Linked DNA regions of Stegostoma tigrinum. The protein of the gene in region 2 interacts with the protein of the main gene of each other region in a pairwise test. Links are inferred from orthologs where the notes say so. Each region holds a gene or a part of one and is shown on either strand. Other genes may lie near its edges.

Evidence for each region. The genes of interacting proteins can lie anywhere in the genome.
Region 1: the proteins of oxidative stress-induced growth inhibitor 1-like (region 2) and meis2a interact in binary tests that used the Homo sapiens proteins (3 or more experiments, as listed by UniProt). The two-hybrid records come from large-scale screens. The link is inferred for Stegostoma tigrinum from reciprocal best matches to the Homo sapiens genes OSGIN1 and MEIS2.

Annotation. Positions count from the first base shown.
Region 1 is NC_081363.1:65,706,250-65,713,948, reverse strand, and holds the start of meis2a (homeobox protein Meis2a), read left to right. Parts: upstream 1-4,429; 5' UTR 4,430-5,897; coding exon 5,898-5,909; exon of another isoform or gene 5,910-5,918; intron 5,919-6,218; coding exon 6,219-6,448; intron 6,449-7,089; coding exon 7,090-7,231; intron 7,232-7,548; coding exon 7,549-7,599; intron 7,600-7,699. UniProt on the Homo sapiens protein: Involved in transcriptional regulation. Binds to HOX or PBX proteins to form dimers, or to a DNA-bound dimer of PBX and HOX proteins and thought to have a role in stabilization of the homeoprotein-DNA complex.
Region 2 is NC_081369.1:3,054,150-3,061,498, forward strand, and holds the start of oxidative stress-induced growth inhibitor 1-like, read left to right. Parts: upstream 1-4,199; 5' UTR 4,200-4,324; intron 4,325-6,299; exon of another isoform or gene 6,300-6,421; intron 6,422-7,349. UniProt on the Homo sapiens protein: Monooxygenase catalytic activity. Involved in regulation of cytokinesis; promotes RHOA activity, probably acting locally at the midbody in late cytokinesis.

The DNA of each region.
Region 1 (7,699 bases), on a different chromosome or scaffold from region 2:
ATACATTTAATGTTCTGAAACGTGCATTGCTAAGAAAAAATAAAATGCATCTTTTTCTGAGAAGGGTAAATGGAATAAGTTATCTTACGGAACACTACTTGAAATATTACTGAATAAGCGCTTGTAAACGCCGTTCCAAATGAAGGGGGGAAATCGAGCTAAATATGGCGAAGAAAAGCTGATTTCTAAATTAGCACGCATCCCGGAGTAGGTAATAATTTTCTAAAATGCCTTCATGTGTAATTCGCGTGCGGGAGATGCCTTGTGTGGGCGACGTGTTATGGTATTATCATTCCCACAACAGCGCTGGCGATTAAGAAGTTCTCGTTGGCGACCTCCACATTCCCAGCCCTGTGTAATGATCCCCCTCCCGTGCAATCGGGCCGGAGTGCGGTCAAAATAACAATCATTCAACTGATATATATTCTAGAGAGAGAGAGAAAAAAATACACCTAAAAAGGAAAGAAACGTCGGCACTCAGTTGTGACAATTTAACAATAATCGCCGTTAGATCCCAAAACAAAAGGTAATACTTTCGAAACGTTAGGGGCAAAACAACATCGAAACTGTGCGGCCATCAAGTGAACGGACAGCAATTGCAAAACAAACGCATTTCGCCTTTCCAGGCAGCGCGGCTGTTGAAAAGTTCACTCCTTCGATAATGAAAACGAAATGAGATCACTAGCGTGTTGGACGTGGCGTTATCAAATCGAGCTTTGTTTCAAATAGGTTCGATTGGTACAATTTAATCTGTTCATTTAAAACCACATCACTGACCCGGTCGCGCTGGGCAACTGAACTTCGCGCGGCTGCAAGGTTTTTTTGGGGGGGGGTGGGTGTGGATTGAGGGGTGTGGAATACTTGTATCAGCTATCGGACTGCTATAGCCAGTCCCGCCAGATAGCGCTAAAGGGCTGTCTATAAGAACGTGCCTTGCAATGAACTTCTCGCCGACCACGGCAGAACATCTGCCGAAAGTTCACGTCGCCTGTTTTCTCTCTGGGTAGTGGCGAGTTTGAGGGAAGCTATGAAAGAAAAACCTGGTGCGTTTAATATATGACGGTTTACAGGTAACGGATGACCCACTCAGTGGGGAGATCTTCCTTCAGCCTGGATTTACACTGGGGTCAGACAAAGTTCACCAATAATCGCCCTCGATCTTCCTTCCTATCTTTTTGTTGTCGGGGGAGGGTGTTTTGGGAAGGGGGGGTGTGTTGGGGGGAGTGGCGGTGGGTTTTGAAATCACGATCTCTAAAACAAACAAACAACCTGTAAAACCAATACAGAGCCCGTTTAGAATATAGAATTCTTGGAAAGCTGGTGAAATACGCTGCAAACTGATTCAACTCTGCTTTTACCTCATTTCCCGAACAAGCAGAGACTTCAAACTTTTGCAGCGATGAATTGAATACATCTTTCACAATCCAGGGGGCAAGAAAACGCACGCTCCGAAACAACACACACATAAACTTGGACTGAAGTACAATCAAAATCAAATCAAAACGAGCGTTAACTGTGGTCAACGCGGAGGACATTCAAATACGTCTCTTTTTAACGAGGTCGCGAAAGTAACTGCAAGTCTCCAATATTTATCGCCTTCCTTTCTTGTCTCCTTCCTTGTTATGACTTTGTATCAGATATTGTACTTCCCAGCGTTCCATAATGAACTGATACCTTGATTTGAAACAAATTGTAACGTTAAAAGTTTATATATGGATGCTCGTAATAGTAAGCACGCTTTAGATTAGTCGGCTTTCATCCTTCAATATAGCAATACTGCGAGGTTTCTAGTCATTTTCTACATCTGAATAGAACTTAACTAAAAGTTACTCTACGAAGAGGTTTATTTCACTTGTATTTGTTTTTTGGTGATGAAAACGAAAAATCCACTTTTTACTACACGAGCAGATTACACAGCGCGGTAATGAGGCTGAGCTTCGCTCAACAAAATGAGTTTGCTTCGGAACGTAGTCACATCAATATTTCAAACGCTGCAGTTGGATAAAATACACACACACACACATTGAAGGGAGTGGGGGGACAAGGCGTGCTGAATCCAAGGAAGTTTGGAGACATTTACCATTTTGGTCGGTACACTTGCAGTTCCAACAACAACTGGCTCCTTCGCCCTCTGATTGTCTTAGTGCTGTTTTTTCTTGAAATAGATACTGAACTCTTAATGAATCTCAACACAGCTGGACTACTCTGACTGAGCAGTGATAGCTCTAACCCCAGGTTGACCCCAATTTGACACCAGAAGATGAAATTTTACCGGCTGTTAAAGCAATCTTCGGCTATCCCCTGCTATCTGTTTGTTGATGGAGATGCACTCCATAACCGGACACCGATTTGCATTATTTGAACGGCAGCTACTCGAATCCCTACTGAAATGTTATATAAAAGGCTGCATTTCGGGATTCGATTCTGAGAAGGTCGGGATATCTCGTATTGATAACAGAAATCTGTGAACTTGGAAAAAAGCATATACATAACATATTAAGTGAAGCAAAGCAACCGTTCTCTAAAACCGAAATCGAACAAGATTTGTTTAGGGAGAATAGCACTTACATATCATATGCGTATGTTATGTAAATATGAATATTCAGGAACAAAGTTGGTAACTCAGTAAATAAATAAAAGAACGGTACAGAAATGCTGTCCAGACTCTCATTATCTGCATTTGGAATTCTACTGTTTTGCAGTCAACTGTTAAACACAAGAGTGTTTTACGTTGAAGTACTTTCGTATTGTACAAAAACAAAACTTTATTATAATAAAATAGGTTTTTCTATCGATAAAATACAAGGTAGCCACTATTTATTACCGTGTTTTACTTACCGCCGTCCAGGGTCAATGGCGATTTGCAAGTCATTTGTGCTTTTATTAAATATTGACGAGTAACGTAGAAGATCATTTTCAAACTTTTGGACTCACACGAAATCCGAATGTGTACTTTGCTTTATGTTATAAAATAAAATGTCATCAATTCGACAAATAGAACACATGTCCCTTATTATTCGGGGCTTACCAACAGAACATGCCGGGCATGTTAGAAGGAAAATACCTATGCATATGGCTAGAATATTTAATCGGCGCAATCCTATGGGGTGCAACATATCCCGACATCCATACACTTTACCAGATCATGGAAATGGCACAATACCGCAGTCAAACCCATTGACAAAAAATGAGTCGGAACAAATGCATTTTCAATAGTCACCGATGACTGTCACACAACATTTACTTTTATTTATCACTTGAGAAAGTCCCCGCTCATCGCTGCTACCAGCTCGCCGCTTTAGTGCTCTAGAAAGCTTTCACGATTTTACAAAGCGCCTTGTTCCAACGCCGGGCTGCGATCAGAGAGACATTCCTTGCCGTTACCGACGAGGTGAGAATTCGTGGCCGGCTCGGTTTTCAAACTCGCCTGGTTCACGCATTGCGAAAACGCTGCAATTTCTACCCACCTTTCTTCTGTTGTCTTGTTGACTTGTTACATTAAAACACGGCAATCATTAATGTGGGGCTGGTCGGTTAGGCAAAACCATGGCAACGTTGCCGTTTGTGTACTGTTTGGCAATAAATGCCTATTAGTGAAGCACACTTACTTGAATGGCAGGACGCGGCTGTACTTACAGTGCTGCAGGACAAGTCGCAGTACAGTAGAGCAGAAGAATACTTATTAGAAGACCGTCTCGGAAGGCAGCTGGATCTTCAGAAGCTGTACGTCTTTCTCATTTTTTAAAGGGGGAAACAATGCGTAAAAAGTATTTTGAGAGCGAATTTTCGCTGCTGTCCTACATTGTCAACAGTCCTTGGTATACTCAGAGGCAGCGTCATGTTGGAATGCCTACTGGCGTTTGTCAACCGCTGCACTATGTTATTTTTTATGTGAGGGGTGTTTTCCCAAACATCATTGTTGTTATGATGCCTCGTTTAATCAAACTGTTTAATTGCAGTGGGTATTACTATCAACATCATCCTCTTAATCGTTCTCTTTTCTTTTTGCTTTATTGACCTCTTGAAGTTGCATTACTGCATCCCCGTGTCCGCGAAAAAAAGTGTACAGATTCTGCTTGCTTTGACAAAGTCGTGATTCATGTTTAATTTTGGAAATCAAATATCCCGTAGACAATGTATTTTGCCAATTTCCCCCCCCCCCCACCCCCCTGTGAAACCATCGATATGTGATGTCACACGCACAAAAGCCTGCATGTCTATTGATGAACCCAAACATTAAACGGAATAGACCGTTTCGGCCTTTGTGCGTAGGGGGCCGTGAACGAGAAGGGGGGGAAAGACAAAACTACTGCAATCGATGGGTCGACCATTGCTCCGCCCCTTAACTTCTAGCATCCCCTGTGATTGATGATCAGATGAAGCTATGATAATTGACTGCCATGATGTACGGCTGGGTGCATGAATTTGGATCCAGCGAAAGGATTGGACGAGATGCACAAAATTACTTTCCCTGCAAAGCTTTTTTTTCGTTGGAAAAGTTCATTTGTGCTCAAGGGGGTGAGGGACCACACTTAATTTTCTAAATAACACTGCAATTAGGAACACCATTATCTGGAGTCACCGCGACAAATATCTCCGCGTTACCCTGCAAACCACAACAATGCTAGGAAAACAAAAGTACAGCGGAGGACATGGATGACTGAAGGGGGAAATAATTCGAAGCCTGTTGAACTTGGGAGTCACTTACTCAAATAAAACCGGTGTTGCCTTCCCGAAGCAATCCTCTGCAAGACACACATCGGTCAGTCGTGAATGTGACCAGTTAACGAGTTTCACATATTATGTATTTGTTAAGGTACAGCAAGTCGGACACTTCCACTATTTTAAGTCATAGTTTCTGAGAATTGCAAAGGGCTTGATTTGAAGCAAGGGCTCTAGCCCTTACTTTGTGGGAAGTTCTGAAATATCCTAACATGTGAACAACTTTTTCTAAAAGCAGTTGTCACACACACAAAACAGAAAAAAAAATTGTACATACATGGGAATAATGAATCTCGCTAAGACAATGCTGATTGATTTAGAGATGTTTTACAATCTGACTTGGGGGAAGGGGAGGGGGTTCTCAGTGGGGCTTTTATTTCGGTTCTGGCTCCCCCCCCCCCCCCATGACTTGCAGCGGTCCGATTGCATAGTCTGCATATGAGAGACAGCTTGGCGTACGACTGGCTATGACCACCACTACTTCCGGGTTCCGTCATTCTCCCGCCGCCGCCGCTCAGCGCTGCCAGCGCATTATTACTGACAACACACTCACTCTGTAACCAACCAACCTCCCAACCTGCCACCTCCTCAATACTTACTGACAGCCACTTATTCAAACAAACAACAAAAAAAAAGCTACGAAAGAAGCCGAAGCTGCTTTCCACCCACTTTCTCGCTCTTATTTTTTTGTGTGCTGTTAACTCCTCGTGAACGTTTTTCATCGCTGTTTTTTTACAGTGAGATAGCGGTCCAAGACAGCGGAGTTGTTGCAACGGCAGATCATCATTCATTCAATACCTTGACAACCCTGCTTTGATTGACAGCTGGAGTGGCAAAAAGCCATGAGAGACGACAGTTTTGTTACAAGCGGGCTGTTGACGGGCCGATCGTAACCTTCAGTAATTATTTTTTTCTCTCTGGCTTGACATTTTTTTTTGCTTCTTCTGGAAAGAAAAAGAGGGAGAGAGAGAGAGAGAGCGGGAGAGAGAGAGAGAGAGAAAAAAAAGGCAAAGTTCCCCTCCTTCCTTGGGCCGCTTTAAACTGCGATAGTGGAGGATAAAGCAGAAGTCGGAAACTGGATTGGAAAAAAAAGGGATCTCGTTGAGTATCAGAACTAAAGCGGACTGGGGGATATTACAGAGACGGCACATCCAACAGTGTGGGAGCGCAGACTGATGGCGCAAAGGGTAGGTTTTCAATCTGCAACACTCACCTATCGGATAATCCTGTATCAGTGGGGCCTGTCTGAGTCCTCTCATCTACTGATGATGGCGGCCCGTGTACAACAGCAGCAATCGCAACCAAAGAAAAAATCTGTTTGATAGCAAACTCTAGTGTGCACGAGCATGTGTTGTGCTTCTTGTAGGTCTGCTGCTTTTTTTTTTCTGTTTAACGCGATTCTGTTCCCCTTTTCCCCCCCTCTCTCGCTCTCTTTCACCCCCACCCTCCCCCCATCCCCCACCTCTCCTGATCTTCTATTGATTTCTTCGATGCAGTACGATGAACTTCCTCATTACGGTGGGATGGACGGAGTTGGGGTACCGGCGTCCATGTACGGAGACCCTCACGCCCCCCGGCCGATCCCTCCAGTCCACCACCTCAACCACGGACCGCCGCTCCACAGCCAGCACTACGGCCCACATACACCTCATCCTAATGTCATGCCCACAAGCATGGGCTCTGCTGTCAACGATGCCCTAAAGAGGGATAAAGATGCAATTTATGGGTAGGTAATAAAATATAAAAGAACACTGACACGCTCCGCGGAGAGAGAGAGTTAAAAAAAAGCAGTTTATAACCAATTCAGTAGAAAGCCAAATAAAACTGGCAAGTTCAGTGGAAGCAAGTATCTAGCTGTTTTCTTTTTTTGCAAAGTTTAGTGTGCACGCACAGGGCTCTGAACTTTGTGTCCCTATTTTGGAATGAAGTCGGATCTCGTTTGCTCTTGGTTTGGAAGTGAAGCTTTGTTTTTTGCCAATCCACAAACGTTAATGATTATAGCTTTCTGGACTGACCGGAAGCTGCAAGTTTTTTTTGCACTGTTTCTGTTCTGTTAAGTTATGTTTTACTTCAAAATGGCTGCTGCCTTGTTGCTTAACTTAGTGGGGTGAATAACTATGTAGTATTGTTAAAATACAAATCCCAATTTTAGTCGGTACCTGGGAAATTGTAAGGAGCAATCCGGTTCTTCAGTTGTAAATTGCCAATTGCTGAGTGAATTGCAAGAATGAAGTGGTCTGTTCTGGACGGAGAGAGAGAAAGAGTGGGCAGATTGTCTTCATTGCCACTAGAAATCATACATAGTTTTAAGGGTTTCGTGTGCTTCAGAACTGAAAGGAATTGACCGAACTCCTCCTTGTCTTGCAGGCATCCTTTATTTCCTCTGTTAGCGCTGGTTTTTGAGAAATGTGAGTTAGCGACCTGCACTCCACGAGAACCCGGCGTAGCAGGCGGTGACGTCTGCTCGTCTGACTCCTTTAACGAGGACATAGCAGTATTCGCAAAGCAGGTCTACAATTCATCTTTTTTACAAACTGAGATACAATATGATGAGGGGAAAAAGACATACTAGCACTTATGATAACAGTCTTGCAGCAGTTTTTTCCTTAAATGTAACCTGTAAAATCGTCTTTAGGTGTACATCTGTGCAACACACAAGCATTTTAATAAATGTGTCAAATTACAAGTAATTACATATCATTTATGTACTAATTGTGTTCTACATGCTGTTTATTTAGCAAGCACACCTTGCCTTCTGAGACGCTTAAGACTTTTGCAAACTCTTAATACATTGCATTGAGCTCATTTATTTCACTTATTGTTTAGGTCCGCGCAGAAAAACCACTGTTCTCTTCTAATCCCGAACTGGATAACTTGGTAAGGCGTTCAACACTTTGTGATCTTTCTAACACATTTTCGATTTGATGTATATTACACGTGGCTTCGCTGCATGCACAGAAATCACTGCCCATTGTGA
Region 2 (7,349 bases):
GTGGAGGGGAGTTGGGAAGTTTTGATTACTGAATGGACTCCCGTTTAACTTTGGCAGAAAGACCATAGAAGGTGGGCCTTTCCTCACTGCACCTTTGAGACAGCTGCTCCAAGCTTTAGTTTGTCCCTCAGTACGTGGTCCTGGATCTTGGAATGTGCCAGCCTGCAACACTCTGTCGAGATCAACTCCTTGCTCAGGAAGACCAACAAGTTTCGGGCAGACTAAAGAGCATCTTTTACCAAGTTGGTGGTCCTCCAGGCGCAGTCAATTTTTGCCTGGGTGTGTGTTCTGGGAACAGACTCCATGACACAGAGTCCCGCATCATGGAGCTGCTCAGGATGAACCTTGACAAAAACCATTGCATCTTTCTCTAGACAGAGATTTCCAGTTACTGGCTGCTCACTGGAATATACAAGAATTTTCGAATGAATAGAAGAGGTTCAGGACAGAGTAGAATTCTCTACCCTCCAGGACTGACTTGAGTTACCAGGAATTTAAGATTAATCTCCAGGACACAGCTGGAAACAGCCCAGGAAAATAAATTTCCAGCACAATTCAAACATAACAGGTTTCTGAATGAATAACAGGTTTTTGAACTTATTGGTTTCTTAGCTCTGAAGTTGACAGGGGAAAGGGGCGGTTTGACTGACAGCTAAGTTGTCCAATCAGGTTGTGAAAAATACATTGGCTTCAACTGGTTGGGTGAAGGGTGGAACACCCTGGTGATTGACATTTCAGTCATCCTATAGAGTAAGGAGATGGATCATGTGATGAGATCTGCAACAGGACCAAGGAGAGTAGCCATCACCTGTAAAGAGGAGAGAATGTATTTAGAATGGTGGATTTGGATCTCTGTTATAGTGATCGCAGCAAAGACCATTTATTGGTGAATATTGTTAGCTGGCTGAGTGAAAGTGGATTAAAAGGGACAACACATTGGAGCAAGATGACTGAATAGGATGAAGGCCAACGTGGAAGATAAACACCTGAATGGACTGAGGGTTCAGTTCCAATTTTGAAAATTCATAGATTATCAAAGCATCCTAAAATAATTCAACTGTAATTAATCATTTGTGATTTTACGTATGCTTGTATTTTACTAACTTCTATTCACAGAATTTATTTTAAAACATAACCGTACTCTCTAGGAGGGACAATCTCCTTGCCCAATGTGTATTATGCCTGGCAGAGCAACAAGATCCCAGTCTCAGTGCTGAGCTGATCCATAAGACCATCAGGTGCCTTTTCCACCTCCTCCAGCAAGATGCCACCACCAGACACATATTCCCCTCCCCTCCCTGGTCCGCCTCTGCAGGGACCATTTCCTCTGGGACGTCCTGGTCCACATTTCTTTCACCCCCAATCCTCCCCTCAGCCCTACGGCACATTCCCCTGTAACCGGTGAAGGTGCAACACCTGCCCATTTACCTCCTCCCTCCCCAGTATCCACGGTCCAAACATACCTTTCAGGTGAAGTAACACTTCACCTGCACTTCCCAGAATTTATTCGCTGCTCACAATGTGGTCTCCTCTATATTGGGGAAAACAAAGCATAGACTGAATGACCGCTTCGCAGACCATCTACATTCTGCTCGCAAAAGAGACCCTGAACTACCTGTTGCCTGTCACTTTAATATACTATTATGTTCCCTGTTCAACATGTCTGTCTCTGGCTTGCTACAGTGTTCTAGCAAAGCTCAATGCAAGCTGGAAAAACAACACACAATAAAAACCAAAATAACTGCAGATACTGTAAATCAGGAACAAAAACAAAGTTGCTGGAAAAGCTCAGCAGGTCTGGCAGCATCTGTAAAGGAAAAACAGAGTTAACGTTTTGGGTCCAGTGAGTCTTCCTCAGAACTGGAACTTTCCTCTGGAGAAACAACACCTCATTTTCCGCTTGGGCACCCTACAGCCTTCCAGACTCAAAATCGAGTTCAATCATATTAGGGCCTAAACTCTCCCATGTCCCAGCCCCCCACCCAACACACCAGGCCTTGTTACCACATAGCCTGCCATTACACACCACCTGTCGTTAGTAACTAACAGTCCCCCTTAACAACTATTCACCTTCCCAGCCAGATTCTTATCAACTCGTTTGTCTGTCCAACTGTTCTTCTCTCTCTTTAGGCTCTATCCTATCATTTACTCTCTACCCCACCCACCTCCCTATTTTCTGCATATAAACGGACATTTCCCAGCCACCATCAGTTCTGAGGAAGGGTCACTGGACCCAAAACATTAACTCTGATTTATTTCTTCACAGTTACTGCCAGACCTACTGAGCTTTTATAGGAACTTTGTTTTTGTTCCTGATTTACAGCATCCGCAGTTTATTTGATTTTTATTCTGTGCTGAGTTTGCTGACTGTATCCCAGGAATCTACAATTGACTTGGTGTCCCAGGGGGAAAAAGCAACTTCCACTTATTATAGAGTCATACAGCATGGAAACAGACCCTTTGGTCGTCCATGCCCACAAGGTTTCCTAACCTGAACTAGTCCCTTTTGCCTGCATTTGGCCCATATCCCTCTAAACCTTTCCCAGCCATGTACCTGTACAAATGTCTTTCAAATGTTGTAATTTACCCACCTCTATGACTTCCACTTGCAGCGCATTCCAAATACATACCATACTCTGTGTGGAAAAAGTTGCCCCTCAGGTCCCTTTTAAATCTTGCCCCTCTCACCTTAAACCTATGATTTAGACTCCCCTACCCTGAGGAAAACACCTTGTCCATTCACCTTATCTATGCTTATTCACTTTATCTCCACCACTCTCCAAGGTCACCACTCAGTCTCCGACGCTCCAGGGAAAAATATCCCGGTTAAACCTAGCGCCTCCATCCTTGTAAATTTTTTTTTGCACCCTTTCCAGTTTAATGACATCCTTTCTGTATCAGGGCGACTGGAATTGGATGCAGTGTTCAAGTACCATGGACAATGGGACCAATTGAAAACTGAGATTGCTATATTTTACATTGAGGGCTTCCCCCAACTACAGACAACAGGGTGTGAGCAGAGGGAGGAAAAGTTGACAGAGAGGAAAGAAACAAACACTGAACGATCCTTCAGGCCAAAAGACAGATTCAGCGGCCAGTACTCAAATTCCACCTGTTGTCTGTCTATCAGCCCTGGGAACAAACTCATCCAGAGGTAAATCAGAGGAGATTGTAATCCTGGGCAACCCACCATCTTCTCACCTTCACCCTGATGAAGGCTTTCTAAATGAGTGGACAGCTCACAGAATCCCTACAGTGTGGAAACAGGCCCTTAGGCACAACAAGTCCACACCGACCCTCACAGCATCCCACCCAGACCCATTCCCCTATGACCTACCTAATCTACACATCCCTGAACACTATGGGCAATTTAGCATGGCCAATCCACCCTAACCTGCAAATCTTTGGACTGTGGGAGGAAACCCACGCAGACACAGGGAGAATGTGCGAACTCCACACAGACAGTTGCCCAAGGGTGGGATTGAACCCTGACGCTGTGAGGCAGCAGTGCCAGCCACTGAGCACCGGTATCACCATTAAGGAACTTGTTGTGCCATTATTTTCCCACAGTGGGCTCGCCAGGTTGGATTTTGAAGTATGTTCAAGGCTGAGACTGATTTTTAATCAATAAGGGGATCAAGGCTTATCAGGAAAAGGTCGGAGAGTGGAATTAAGGATTATCAGATCAGCCCATGATTCCATGGACTGGCAGCGCAGACTCGATGGTTTGAAAGGCCTTCTCCAGCTCCGATGTCTCATGGTCAACTGCCCCCCAGCTCAGATGCACTAAACATAGTCTTCAGTTTGCACACCTCTAAGTGGCCCTGAAATCTGAGCTTTTTGATGTCACGTGGTGGCTGGATTTTTCCGGGGCGGGGGGGGAAGAGAGAGACAAAATTGGGACTGGGAGAAAACGTGAGGGAGAGAGAACAGAGGAAGGGGAGGATTGGGATGGGGAGGAAGCGATAAGGCAAAAAAAGAGGGTTTGGCAGAAAAGGGGTGGGGAAGAGAGATAAAGATGAAAGGAATGTGCAGCTGCACATTGGGGGTTGCAGTTATTTTCTGCGCTTTAATCCACCTTCCACAAACTCCCTCCTGTCCCTCCCCCCACAACGCCAAAATAGCTGTCCCCTTCCCTTTGCATTAAAATGACTCATTGACAGGGTCGCTCAGTGCTGGTTGTCTCTCTGCTTGCGCTTGTTCGTCCTGCAGGTCTGGGCATCGCTGGTATTCACACCCTGTCTCGCCCTCCCATCCGTGAAGCGTCAGGGGCACAGCTCAGTGACACTTTGTGGTGTTGGTGTGAGCCTCGGACAGAACGCGGGTAAGGAGAGTCACTTTTCTCTTCCTTTAGAGGATATTTACAGAGACACCAGCCATCTGCATTTCCCAAACTGAATTTAATTCTGAGACTCATCGAGGCCCTGAGTTTACACAAATCGCTCCATTATCACGCCCACTCTTGCCCTCAGTGCAGATGAGCCGCTCTTCTTTGTAAAAAAAAATCATCTCACAGCCTGAAAGGAAAGGTTAACCCCGTGGTTGCTGTCGGAAGTGTAGATGGTCTGTGATTATCACAGGGAGTTGAAATGCAGATTAACTGGGGAGTAGCGTCCAGTCAATTCTTACCAAATGCAGTCAGCAGATGTGCTTGGAAATTGATTTTTTTAAATATAAAAAAACCTCTCGGGGATCTCGGTTCAAAGACTTTCCGCCATGAAACACGAGGTTTAGAAAGAACCACGTTCTCTCAGAAGCAGGAAGCACACACTTCCTGTACATAAACATGGCTTGTTGTAAACTGGACTGGGAGGTGAGTGAGGTTTTTTTTGGCCCTGGGTATCGATTTTTTTTGTCCTGTTTCCTGACCGCACTGGCAAACGCTGCAACGATTAGTACAGTCTAACAGACTGTGACGTGTTCACAGTTCAGTTGTTAGGATATAAAACAGTTAAGGCTGCCTTCCCTCAGAGAGCAGCACCCCTCAACTGGATTCGGGAACTCCAATCTTTATTAATCCATATGCTTGGTCTTCACATTGTAGGGCTGTCTGGAGTGGGGTTTGAACCCAGTAGCTTCTGATTCAGAGAGCGATCACAGGCAGTTGCACCACATGCACCTCCACTCTCCCCTACAGGGGGTGCTCCACCGGCCCCACCCTTGTCCTCCTGGGACTACATGAACTCATGGTCCTCTGTATTAAATGGGTGCTTCCCCCTCACACTACCCCCATTCAAAAAGAGTCACATCAGCTGTATTGTTCACCCTGCCCCTTAAATGGGCCACATTAGCCATCTCACCCTCTCCAGGGCCCTTTAAAGGGACTACATTCATATCCCACCTCTTACTAAATGTGGTATATCTGATTTTTTTTTTCCTCTGTATTCTATCCCATATAGGGGGCAGATTGACACCCTCTCTCTTCCCTTCACATCCAGGACTTTGCAATGCCATGTTCTTGGAACGCTGGGTCTTCCCAGTCATTGACCGGCCTGGGTTTTCTGATATCCGTTGTGTTTGAGAGACAGCACTGCCGACCCCAGCGGGTACTGAAACTCTGGATGAGTCTAGTACCATGCTGTGGTTTGTTCAGTTATTTGGCAACATACGGCAGTGCCCAGAAATAGGAATTTGGAAATATTGTTCCCTCCCACCTCAGAGGCTCGTGTTCCAGGGATTACTTGGCTGTGGGCAGTTCCTGCCTTTGGGGCAATCTTAGAATGATTTTATGAATAACCTTAAACCGTGTTCACATTGGCCCAGAGAATGAGAACGGAGTGGATGTCACTGAATGCCAAGGGAAATATCAGTCTCTCAAAGAATTCAAGAAAGACCACAAACAAATCTCTGAGGGATATTACAAGGAAACAGAACTCCAGTGAAATGTAATTGGAATTTCTTTCTTAGGCACAGATGATTGAGATAGAGATGTAGAATAAAGGCAGAGTAATTGGGATTAACAGAGAAACAGAGAGAGAGAGAGAGAAACAGAAAATTACAGACAGAAATAGAGACAGAGACACTTTAGGGAAGCACTAAATATGAAACACAGACGCTGAGAGTGAGAAAGGCAGTGTGTGTCTCGCATTAAACTGTATCTGGCTGAGTCTGTAAGCACGCTCTCACTGTCAGTGTGAGGTCAACATGTGAAGGGGTCACGCTGCAGTGTGTGTGATCCTCTTGTCCCTCTCAAACCTGGATCCTTCCTCTCAATCTGCCAAGTCACCCTGACCTCCCAGGGTGTTCGTGCTGAGTCACGCTCTCTCAGCTTCTTCCCTCTTGCTCAGGCTCCTCCCTGGCTTTTTAACCACTGATTTAATCAGGAAACACCCAGGAGAGTGTGCAGTTTGCTGGGAGTCTTTATCCTCACAGAGCTCATTCCCGTGTAAAACGGCTTTCTCCCTGGTGTCTGATCCAACAGGTAAGCTGGACGTTTGATTGCATAAAATTAGGCTGTCATTATCCTGTCTCCCCCGCAGTGTTTTTGCTTATTTTCATTCCTCAGCACAAAGGGCTCATTTATCACGTGTGCCTACGTTTGGCGGATGGTCTCACGTTGTCTTCTCTTGAGCCGAGTCACTGTAGAGACAGTGGGCGCTATATTAACACAGGTTCCAACATGTACCACACCACCTCCTCCCCCCCCCCCCCCCTAAACACCAATTCAGCCGTCTGCACCTCAACTGGAGCACCATACCCAAACTCAGCCAACTCGATGTAAACTCTTGTAGCTTGTGTTAGACGTACAGCCCCATTACTGGTTCTCCTGGCAACCAGGGATCTCCCAGCTCATTCCCTGCTGCTCTGTTGTGGCTCAGAAGGTATCCTGGTAAACAAAGTGCTGAGTTCCATTTTTCTTTTCCTCACTCTGTTTTACCTTTGATAACTGGTTGCTGCGCAGAGACATGTGGATGGAAGGAGTAGGTCAGTATTGGTCTCAACGCTGACTTCCTTCACTTCGCCATCCTTTACGAATGTTGTCTGGATGGAGTTAAAAGGAGTAATTTAACCTTACATCTTCAAACCCACCAATTTTCTGGTTGTTTACAATTCATCAGGCCTTCAATGAGTCTCCCCCACATGAGAGACAAGACACTGGTTAAGAACATAGAACAATACAGTACAGGAACAGGCCCTTTCGCCCACAATGCACAGACCTATTCTAAACTAATCCCATTTGCCTGCATATGGTTGGTATCCTTTTGTCCCTGCCTGCTCATGTTTATCTAAATGCCTTTTAAATGTTACTAATGTATCTGCTTCCGCCATCTCCCCAGTAGCGTATTCCAGGCACCTATCACCCTCCATGTTTTTAAAAAAAAAGGACTTTCTACGCATATCTCCTTTAA